Callithrix jacchus: one gene and its partners. The protein of the gene in region 3 interacts with the protein of the main gene of each other region in a pairwise test. Links are inferred from orthologs where the notes say so. Each region holds a gene or a part of one and is shown on either strand. Other genes may lie near its edges.

What was found.
Region 1: the proteins of PSMA3 (region 3) and AURKB interact in a two-hybrid assay, tested with the Homo sapiens proteins (2 studies listed by BioGRID and IntAct). The link is inferred for Callithrix jacchus from reciprocal best matches to the Homo sapiens genes PSMA3 and AURKB.
Region 2: the proteins of PSMA3 (region 3) and ZNF366 interact in binary tests that used the Homo sapiens proteins (3 or more experiments, as listed by UniProt). The link is inferred for Callithrix jacchus from reciprocal best matches to the Homo sapiens genes PSMA3 and ZNF366.

The regions. Positions count from the first base shown.
Region 1 is NC_133506.1:74,675,303-74,679,051, forward strand, and holds the start of AURKB (aurora kinase B), read right to left. Parts: upstream 2,699-3,749; 5' UTR 2,546-2,698; intron 2,376-2,545; 5' UTR 2,351-2,375; coding exon 2,303-2,350; intron 594-2,302; coding exon 491-593; intron 379-490; coding exon 324-378; intron 119-323; coding exon 1-118. UniProt on the Homo sapiens protein: Serine/threonine-protein kinase component of the chromosomal passenger complex (CPC), a complex that acts as a key regulator of mitosis.
Region 2 is NC_133503.1:138,634,301-138,638,049, reverse strand, and holds the start of ZNF366 (zinc finger protein 366), read right to left. Parts: upstream 2,447-3,749; 5' UTR 2,321-2,446; intron 1-2,320. UniProt on the Homo sapiens protein: Has transcriptional repression activity. Acts as a corepressor of ESR1; the function seems to involve CTBP1 and histone deacetylases.
Region 3 is NC_133509.1:92,903,405-92,907,153, reverse strand, and holds the start of PSMA3 (proteasome subunit alpha type-3), read right to left. Parts: upstream 2,572-3,749; 5' UTR 2,486-2,571; coding exon 2,465-2,485; intron 1-2,464. UniProt on the Homo sapiens protein: Component of the 20S core proteasome complex involved in the proteolytic degradation of most intracellular proteins. This complex plays numerous essential roles within the cell by associating with different regulatory particles.

The DNA of each region.
Region 1 (3,749 bases), on a different chromosome or scaffold from region 3:
GAGGACCTTGAGTGCCACGATGAAATGGCTTTTCTTCTCCCGAGCCAAGTACACGTTTCCAAACTTGCCTTTGCCCAGAGGACGCCCAATCTCAAAGTCATCAATTGTGAAGGACCGCCTGCTTAGAAAGTGGGGGAAGGCAGCTCAGAACCAGTTTTGGTTATCTAAGATGTTTGCTTTTTCCCTGCTTCCTCATCCCATCCTGTCCTCAGCCCCATTTTTCTTCATTCCTACTCCTCCTGCCCTTAGATTTTACCTCCCCGACTTCCTGCATGTTCACTGCCCCCCTCATCCCTGTCCACCCCAAGGCTTGGGGCACTTACGTTAAGACGTTGGGTGTCCCGCTGCTATTCTCCACCACCTTCTGGCCAGGGGCAGCTAAGGAGAGAACAGGTAAGTTGAATGAGAACAGGGATGACATTCTCCTCCCTACACCCTCCCATAGACTCTCATCTCCCCAAGTCAGTCCTCTCCCCCTTGTCCCAGTTACCTGTGGGCTGGACATTGGAGCGGCTCATGAGGACAAGTGCAGATGGGGTGGCAGGCTCTTTCCGGAGGACTCGCTGGGGCAGGGTGCTCAGGCCAGATGGAGTCTGAGAAGGAGCAGGGGGTAGCTCTGAGGGTGCCTTTGTTTGATGACCGGGGTGGAATGTGCTGCAAGCAGCATTTCAGCCCTCTGCTAAAAAGCCAGTCACCCGCCCACCCCCAATTCAAATAGAAACACTGACATGACAGTTTTGCTTCCCAGGCTCTGCTTGTAGTATCATATTAAAATGGATTATTAATAAACCTAAGTAGGCCTAAGATAAGGGGCAAAGGACTCACCCCAACAGCTAACATTTCACCTCTTTGTCCCTGGCCCACACCACCTTCACAGGCATGAAGGTGTCCAATCTGTCCATAACACCACAGTCATTCATCCAGCCCCTCACTCACAGCATAGTAGAGGGCTGGGTCAATAAACACCTATAATTCAAGGGGGTTAGCACAGAGGTATTCTCAGAGTTTCCTTAAAGTTTAGTTTATTAAGGCTTAGATAAGATCCTTGAGGCCTTGAATGTTATAGCAACAACCTGGATTTACAGCTTTGCAAGAACAGGCTTTAGGGACACTAAGAGCTACTCTGATGGGCCTAGACCACTTCTCACTTTCAACTTCTTTTTTTTTTTTTTTTTTTTTTGAGACAGAGTCTCATTCTGTTGCCCAGGATGGAGTGCAGTGGTGCAATCTAAGCTCACTGCAACCTCCGCCTCCCAGGTTCAAGCGATTCTCCCGCCTTAACCTTCCGAGTAGCTAGGACTACAAGGTGCCCACTACCATGCCCAGCTAATTTTTGTACTTTTAGTAGAGACAGGGTTTCACCATGTTGGCCAGGATGGTCTCGATATCTTGTTCTCATGATCTACCTGCCTTAGCCTCCCAAAGTGCTGGGATTACAGGCGTGAGCCACCGTGCCCAGCCTCACTTTCAACTTCTCAAAGTAATAGATGCACTTTTAGGAGTGACCAAGGTAAAAGTGACAGTGGTTTCTCATCCAGACTCCATTCCTGACAGCCTCATTCAGTGCTCCATGAGGGAGGGAGCTGATGCACAAGGACACAGACTCTTTAGGAAGCCCGAGCTCCACAAGCAGGGAGCAAAACCTGTGCAGGGCCCCTTCTGTCTTCTTCAGCCAAGAGAAGAAAGTCCCAGTGCCTCTAAAAACCTGTTCCCCAAAGTGATATTGGTATAGATCTACAAATAACCAAGTTGAATAAAATACAGTCCAGAAATAGACCCACACCTATGTGGGAATTTATATATAATAAAAAATCAGGGGAGACCCTTCAATGAAATCTGTCTGGACAATTGGGAAATAAGTCCATTTAGATCCTTACCTCACCTTAGTCATTAAAATAAATTCCAAATTATTAATTTAGACTTGCCCTGGACTGTTTCAACAGTAACCTTATAGCCTTTTAGAGTCCTTTCTATTTGCTGCCTAGTTTATTTTTTCAGCACATGGGTTGTGAAGGCCAGGCCCTGCCTACTCAGTCCCAGATATCATTGGTATGTGATGAGCAGGCTCAGCCCCAGGGGTCCTCACCGGTTGGGAGTCACTGGCTTGTCAGATTAAAGTTGGCAGGATGTGGCTATAAATGACCATTCTGGGTTCTGTCACCAAATTCTTGGGACCCGTACTTTGGAGCAGAACGGGGAAGAAGGTGCTTAAAGGATTGCTCACTGCAGGATCTCAAGTCTCCCAGCAGGAACTCGCCGTGCAGGGACAAGGTGGGGGCGGGGATGGAGGGAAGGGCCTTACCGTCTGCCGGCCGTAGGGCCAGGGGTAGGCGTTCTCCTTCTGGGCCATCCTTAGAGGGAAAGGCGGAGAAGAGCTGGGCGGAGAAGGGAAACAGCCGTGAGAAGCAGAGAAAAAGAAAGAGAGGGAGGGGTTGGAGCGATCGGGTCGAAAGCGCTAGCCTGGGCTCGTAAAAAGGACCAGGTCAGCACACTAGCCCCAGTCCAGGCGCTGGTCTCACCTCCCCCACCCTGCTATCGTCCCTACCTCCTTCCAGCCTTGCGGAGTGCGCGCGGGCCAGCCCGGTGGACCTCCGACCTGCCCGATCATCTGCCCACTCCCGGCGCAAGGCCTGTGAAAGGAGGCCAGCTCACCTGGAGCCCAAGGCACTGCTACTCTCCCTGCCTCCCGCAAGCAACTGAATCAGTCACGCCGCGCCCTGATCCAGGACCTTTCAAATCTCCCGCCCCTACCCCATTGGTGAGCTCTTCACCCATGCCTAGTTCCCATTGGCTACATATCCTGCGACGTAAGTCATGGGAACCCAATGGAAGAGGCGGAATGAGAAGGTCGCACGCTCGGCTACCAGCTTAGAAAGTTTCCCCAAGTTTCCCCAGTGAATTAGCTTTTTCATTTCTTTTCCTTTTTTTAACTTTTCTCTTTTTTTTGAGACACAGTCTTGCTCTGTTGCACAGGCTGGAGTACTTTGGTGCGATCTCGGCTCACTGCAACCTCCGCCTCCCGGGTCCAAGCGATTTTCGTGCCTCAGCCGACCGAGTAGCTGGGATTACCGGCGCCCGCCACCACGCCTGGCTAATTTTTATATTTTTCGTAGAGACCGGTTTTCGCTGTGTTGGCTAATCAGATCTCGAACTCCTGTCCTCAAATGATCCACCCGCCTCGGCTTTCCATAATGCTGGGATTACAGGCGTGAGCCAACGCACCCACCCCTCTTCTTTTTATTAAAAAAAAAATTAAATCTTTGGCCGGGCGGGGTGGCTCACGCCTATAATCCCAGCATTTTGGGAGGCCGAGGAGGGTGGATCACGAGGTCGAGAGATCGAGACCATCCTGGTCAACATGGTGAAACCCCGTCTCTACTAAAAATACAAAAAATTAGCTGGGCATGGTGGTGCGTGCCTGTAGTCCCAGCTACTCGGGAGGCTGAGGCAGGAGAATTGCTTGAACCCAGGAGGCGGAGGTTGCAGTGAGCCGAGATCGTGCCATTGCACTCCAGTCTGGGTAACAACAGCGAAACTCCGTCTCAAAAAAAAAAAAAAATTTAAATCTTTAATATAACTGGAATTTATTCTTATGCATGTGTGAGCTGGGGTCTAACTTCTGCCCGATGGAGAGCCAGTATGTCAACAACATTTGTTAAACAAACTGCCCCAACAGAATTTAAATGCTGCCCTTGATATATAACATTAGCATATTTACTTGTGTCTATTTCTAGACTTTCTATTCTGTT
Region 2 (3,749 bases), on a different chromosome or scaffold from region 3:
GAGACTTAGAGCAGTTAAGTACCTGGCCTGAGGCCCATCATCAGTAAGCAAGGAAGCTGAAATTCAAACTCAAATTAGTGTGACAACAGCCTGTGCCCTATTCACTCTAATTTGACTCACATCTCAGCACACAGATCTACAGGACACACATCCTAACATGATTTAAAATGTATGTAAGAAATTATAATTTAGTTATGTGTATAGTTTTGGCAGAAATGAGTGAGTAAAATATTGTATGTCTCAAATTCTGGATCACTTCAAACTGGAATTCCCCCAATGATATCACACCATGACCCCCAAGGAATCACACACTGGAAGTTTCCACAAATGCCAACTCACTCTTTGGAGTTGAGTGAGTAAAGATAGATTGAGTGGTAGTGACTTAGACTAAACCAGTCGATGGCTTTTGTTCTTCAGGTGGCTAAAGTTCTTATTCCCCAGGATCCGAGAAATAATTTCACGGCAATGACTTAACAACTTAAATGGAAATATTGAGTACAATTTTTTCTTTTAAAGAAAACTGCATATCCTCAGCTTCTTAATCTCAAGCCATAGCGAAGACTCATGCTAGCAGTGGGGCTGTTTTCTGAGCCACTGGCCTACCCACCTTGTGCCTTCCTTGTCTTTAATTTAATTGCCTTTCTTGTCTTTAACAGATGACTCTGCTGTCATTTGTTTCCTATTGTGTTGCATCTGATGCTTTCACTCAGTAAACAAAATTAGAATGTGTTCTGTGATGTTGTTTTAATTGGACACAAAATTAAACACATTATCAAGAGAAATGAAACTGAAAGGAGCAAGTGAAGATCGCAGACCTGCGTTTTCTTCTGGGGCCACAACTGCTGATAAATGATGCAATAATCCCTGAACAATCTATCCCGGCTACCGTTTGATCTGAAGATCTATAAAAATTGAGTAGTTAGCGGAGGAGGTAGGGTAGCTGGAAACCATTTTCAATTGTTACTAGAATAATTTTGCATCAGCAAGCTGGCAAACTCTAATCACGTCTCTTTACATTGCTCCTTTTATGGTGCTCCTAAGGAAAGTCTATTGAAAAAAGGAGACGAACAAAGAGGTCTGACTAATGGAACAAAAGCTACATCACAGTCTAGTTCTATCATGTTTTCTCATCCTTCATAAGATGATGGTTCATTTTTGAATAAAGATTAATTACTTGCATGTGGTTAAAGCATAGTCTGGCCAAATTAATTTAAAAAATGAGAGTCTAGCTATTTTTATCTTACTCTTCACATCCCAGGTGATTTCAGTCAGTAAATTTCATAGGAGTGAATATTTTTTAAAAGTGTGCATGGCCATTGGCTTTCCCCCATTCGGCATCTCTCTGAATTGAAGTATTAATATTGGAAAACATACTGAGTCTCTCGGAGTGACCTTTCTGACCTATTTTTGACAACATGATTTCGGCTCCCCCATGGCTTGTGAGGATGGGTTCCTGGTAACATTATCCTTTATGAAAAATTTAACTGAAGCCAGTTAGACTTTTAAAAACTAGTTGTCTATATAAGCCTGACTAGCTGGCTGTGCTCTATTTGGTGCTTGGAAAACCAGGCACTGAGTGAATGTTTTTCAATTGTGCTATAACTTAGTTTTCCCCTCCTACTGACATAAATGATCAATCTTAATCCTCCGATTCTAGCTGCATATTGTTTTCCAAAACTAAAGCTATATGCCCCAAAACCTTTGCCTTCTTTCATGTGGCAGATGACATTGCACATGGAACCTGAACACATAAGCTCCCCACATGCAGAACTATTTCCAAGTGACATTCCCTTCTTTCTTTCCCTCCTACTTTGGTGATGCAGAATAACCATCATATAACAATTAACAATTGTCCTTTAGGGGGATGCGGAATGGAAAGAAAAGAACAGGAGAAGGGCACCTCAATCCAGGCAACATGTTAACAAAAACCCCAGAGAAAAACCACCGTCCTTAACAGACAGCCTGATAAGGTTTCCAGGACATAGTACTGAGGAAGAGCAAATTCTACAGTGGGACATACCTCATACTCCAGTGGCTCCTGGTTCACCCAGCCACATGATCTACGCCAAAATTCAGATTTAACACAGTGTCCTCTTTAGTCCCAATGTAATTCTATTTCTAGTTTTACCAGCCTTAGCTCTGCAAAGCATCAGTAGTCCCTTACAAAAAACGGTATTAGCTTAAATTCTGGGCCATCTATCACTCACACCCTTTGGTTAAGGCTATACTCAGTAAGGTATTTTCTGTTGAAGATGCCCACAGCAGTATCCACCCCAGGAACCTTGAAATGGAAGCAGAAATGATTGCATGGGTAACTTACCAGCTCCTGAGGTCTGAATGGCTGCAGCAGCCCCACTCCTTTACCTGATCCCTGCTCTCTCTGTCTCTCTCCCTCTCTCTCTCCCTCTTTCACTTGTGTACAGATTGCAGGGAACTTAAAGAACTCGCAGGGACAGTGTTTCGAATGACTTAAGAAAGAGAACAGGAACAATACTTCGTTCTCTTTTTCTCAGATGAGTACCTTCGGGAAGAAGGAAGGAAGGGAGGGGAGAGGGAGGAAGTCAACAACCCTTTGCTTTCCTGAAAAAAAATAAGGAAACAGAAGATAGACATCTCATTTTCTCTTAAACAAAATGTTGGAAGGGGCAAAAAAGAAAAAAATCTTTGAAAAAAGGAATTCCTCAAGTATGCTCTCTGCCCTGGGAGCTTTAAAGAGATGAAAACGCCTTAGTGGCCTGTCCTGTCCAAACAAATGGTGTTCCAGAAAGGCAGGCTCTCCCGTGCTTGCAGCCTCTGGTATCTGGTTTGCAGAACTGACACAGCCGAAAGGGAGCAAATCATGTCATGTCGACTCAGAGCAAGGGAGAGCTTGGCCTGTTGTGCTAACCAAGGTAAACCTGCAGCCTGTAAGACAGTGTCAGGGCTGGTCAGCCAGGACTCTTGGCTTTTCCTAGGCCCTTTGAAACACCAGCGTTCCTGCAATTCCTCGGCTGACTCTGGATCCTTAGAGTTTTTCCAGAATCAAATAGCAAACTTATGCTCTGGTCCCCGAGCTTTATGCAGTGGACCCAATCCAGCTTCCATCACTGATGGACGAAAAAGGGAAAAGAAGCAACTAACCACAACTGCTGCAGGACATGGCTGTCTCAGATCTGTTGTTTATATTATCCTATCCTCTACATTCCTAAGGCTTCTTGGATTTAGTCACCTCTGGAAAACTGGAAGGAGATTTCTAATTTCAAAATACTGCCAAGCAGCATAGGGCTTAGATAAATCAGCCACAATTTTTGAAAAAATATGGGGGAGGCAGGAGCAGAAAAACGTGGAGGAAGTACCCTTTATCAAGGTAGAAGACTTGGGACTTCAGCAGGCAGGCTTGAGCTCTGCTTAGGCTTAGCTGCACTTAGGTATAAGCTCAGTTTTAACTTCTCAGATTTGTGTTATGTCTTTTGCACCCCTCATTCATCTGGTTAGGATCATTTTCACTGTGAAAAGGAACTGGCAGTTATGTAGACCTTTGTGGCAGCAAAAGAAAAACTAGCTTTACACTACTTCCTCATTTCACCTAATTGTGAAAAAAATGAGGTGAACAGATACACCTGATTGCAAAGAGTCACAAAAGTGAGTTCAGGGAAAGAACGATTGTGAATCAGTGACCCTGTAAGATTTTGATTAGGTCCTTATTGGCCTATAGGATTATGTTTTTATTCTGACAGGTTTTTTTCCTATCTATCTATCTATCTATCTAT
Region 3 (3,749 bases):
AAAACTCCATCTCAAAAAAAAAAAAAAAAAACCCACACACGTGCGCGCGCGCGCGCGCACACACACACACACACACACACACACATACACACACACAAAACCTGGTTTTTGAAAAAGATTAATATTTAGAACCAGCACTGGAGTTAGAATATTTAAATTTGTAATCATAACTCTGCCATTAACAAACTAAAAGACTTCATTCAACTCATCAAACACTTAATGAGCATCTATTATGTTGGTCTAATATGGAATACAAAGATGACCACTCATTCACCAAGTCCTTCAATTTCAAATCAGACAGGAATCCAGGTGCCAGAGATACAGCAGCAAATCAGAAAAGGCACTAAGATGAAAATAAAAGAGTAAAGCGATAGAAGAAACTACTACAGACTACATCATCAGGGAAGGCCTTCTGGGGCAGTTATATTTAGGATGAGTCAAACCTAAATGACAAGGAGCTAGCCATTTAAGATATGATGGAAAAGCCTTCTTGGCATTTGGCACAAAGATCTTAGGGTTGAAAGAAGGCTAGCACAGTCAAGGAACAGAAGTAAGCTCACTGTGTCCCAAGCACTGTAAGAAGCAGAAAAAAAGAGCAGACTGTGTTAGTGAGGTAGTTGAGGGCCAAATTATGATGGGTCTTCTAGGATGGAATAAGGACTTTGTATTTTATTCTAAATGCAATGAGGATTTAAGCAGTGGGGTGGTACGATCTACATTTTTCAAAACCTCATTCTGGTTTTATGTGGAAAATGAACTGTTGAGAGAACAACAGAAGTAAAGATAAAGTGTTCCAAAGACAATGGTAGTAGCTTAGAGAAGAGGTGGAAAGGAATACTTTTTGAGGGTATAGTAAAAAAATAAATAAAAATGAACTTGCTAAGTCAGGCACGGTGGTTCACACCTGTAATCCCAGCGCTTTGGGAGGCCAAGGCAGGTGGCTCACAAGGTCAACAGATCGAGACCATCCTGGTCAACAAGGTGAAAGCCCGTCTCTACTAAAAATACAAAAAAATAGCTGGGCATGGTGGCGCGTGCCTGTAATCCCAGCTACTCAGGAGGCTGAGGCAGGAGAATTGCCTGAACCCAGGAGGCGGAGGTTGCGGTGAGCCAAGATCGTGCCATTGCACTCCAGCCTGGGTAACAAGAGCGAAACTCCATCTCAAAAATAAAAATAAAAATAGAAAAATTAGCTGGGCACAGTGGCTCATGCCTGTAGTCCCAGCTACTTGGGAAGCTGAGGCAGGAGAAGCGCTTGAACCCGGGAGGTGGAGGTTGCAGTGAGCCGAGATTGCACCACTGAACTCCAGCCTGGCAACATAGCGAGACTCCATCTCAAAAAAAAAAAAAAAAAAATTTGTAGAATGAAATACTATTAATTGAAAGTAATATTAATACAGTTGCAACGTCAATTTGCTACAAGATTACTGAGCACTTATCCAAGAAAAGTATGGCAGAACTTAGCATTCATAACCGAATGGATTTAACCCCTCCAGACACTGAGTTGCCTATTATCAAATTTAGACACCAGTACTTGAACTTAAGGCTGAGCATGAGAATCTTGTTAAGAAGTAGAAATTGATGAACTGAGAAACTCATTATTCAATAACTCTAGTGCAAATGACCAATAAATCTTTTAGAAACTGTATTTTTTATGTAGAGAAGTACATAAAAGGAGTAAACTGACTGCACATAGGCTATACGTTTAACAAAGGAAAGCCAAACAAGTAAACAGGTCTCACTGCAAGAACAGTCTATCAAAAGTCTGAAATGGTTAAGTTTCTATGTGATCATTTAAACATTTACGGAATAAATGCCTTAAAGCGCTGTTAGGTAATTTTTGCAGGAAAAACAAGGACAAAGCAAGGTAATTTTTGCAGGAAAAACAAGGACAAGGGAAATACTGAAGGATTCAGGAGATTTTAGCTTTTCGGATCATTTTAATTCTGTTCCGACAGGGTTTCCAGTGACTCTTAGGCTGAGCGGTCGATGATCAGTACACTTAAAGGAAAGACAGAGAGGGCCCGTGAATCGGCAGCACCCTGGGAACTGCAAACGCAGTCCACAGAAAGCACGGTCTCCAGACTGTGGAATCCCAAACCGCACTGCCTCGGTGGCTGTCTCAAGAGAACGCACTATTTCAAGCCGCATGAGTTTCCACTTTCGGTTTCCCTAAGCGGCTGAAGAAAGTGACTCAGCAATCCAAAGCTGCTCCAAACCTCACTGCGGGGACGCCAAACCGGCTACACCCGGGCTGAAAAGCTTCAGGAGTCACAGTCACCTGAGACGCGGGCCTAGCATAGAGGGGATAAAGATGACCGGTCTCCAAACAGCTGCAAGTGGCCCACCCAGCCGAAGACGGCCCCAGAGCACCCCGGGTCCGGGCACCCCATGTGGTCTGCTGGAGTTCCCTTCAAACCCAAACCTTAGGTTAGACTATGACACAGAGAGACAGCAAACTCACCCCGGTGCCGATGGAGCTCATCGTGCTAAACCCAACCGGACGCGTAGGGCTTCCAGGCCTAAAGCGCTTCCCCTACACCACAGGACACCGCAGACTAGTAACAGGCCAGCTCATTGGCTGCATCACCAACCAATAGCCTTTTTCTCTATGGTTCGTTCTGCGGCTGCGTACCCTAGGACGAGGAGTATTGTGGGAAAGAAGCGGGACGCTAGAGGCGGGAGGCGTGCAAGTGCCGAAGCAGAGGTGGAGGGGGTAACGGAAGGCAAAGGCCTTCAGTCCGCGTTCTTTGAGCTGCCAGGCGTCGTGGTATTTGAGAAGCTGCTGTATTCCTTTCCTAGGAATTATTATTTATCTTTTATTCTCTCCTCGTCACTTTATTCTTTCTTTAAGCAAAAGTAAGAGATGCTCGTATACTGTCACAAAGAGTAGAAAATGCAGTAGTGGCCAAGTCACCTGTGCTCCTCGGCGTCCCGGCCCAGACCCAGTGTCTTGATGGCATCCACTTCACCTTTTTATGCTCAGGCTCTTGGGAAGTTTCACTTCAAGCGTATCATCTTTGAATTCAGCTCGGAATTTTACAGCAGAATTAGTGCCGTTTCTATGAGTATAACGCTTTTTAGTAGGATTAAAGATGTTTGATTAAAGATATTTATTGAGCGCTAATATATTCCACGTGTTCAAGAAAAAGCCATGAACAGAACATACCCCCGTTTCTCATGGGATTTGCATTCAGTGGGAGGAAATAGGTAAAAATAAATAATCAAAATAAGTAGTGAGAAGGAAGAGTGCTTTAATAGACAATCGAAATGGCTTTCTGAAACGATATTTAAACTAAAATGGGCAAAGGCTGAGTGGTTTAGGGAACAATAAACTTGGCTTGCGCTAGGAACTGTCATGTCAGAGTGACCTCTCAATGATTAAGTGGGGAAGAGTGACAGGAGGATAACACGTGCACATGTGACCAAATCTTGAAGTGGTTTAGATTTTTTTTTGAGACAGAGTCTTGCTCTGTCGCCAGGCCAGAATGCAGTTTCGCCATCTCGGCTCACTGCAACCTCCGCCTTCCAGGTTCAAGCGATTTTCCTGCCTCAGTCTCCTGAGTAGCTGGGACTACAAGAGCCTGCCACCACGCCTGGCTAATTTTTTGTATTTTTAGTAGCGACGGGGGTTTCACCGTGTTAGCCAGGATGGTCTGGAACTCCTGACCTTGTGATCTGCCCGCCTGGGCTTCCCAAAGTGCTGGGATAGGCGTGAGCCACCGCACCTAGCCGTGGTTTGGATTTTA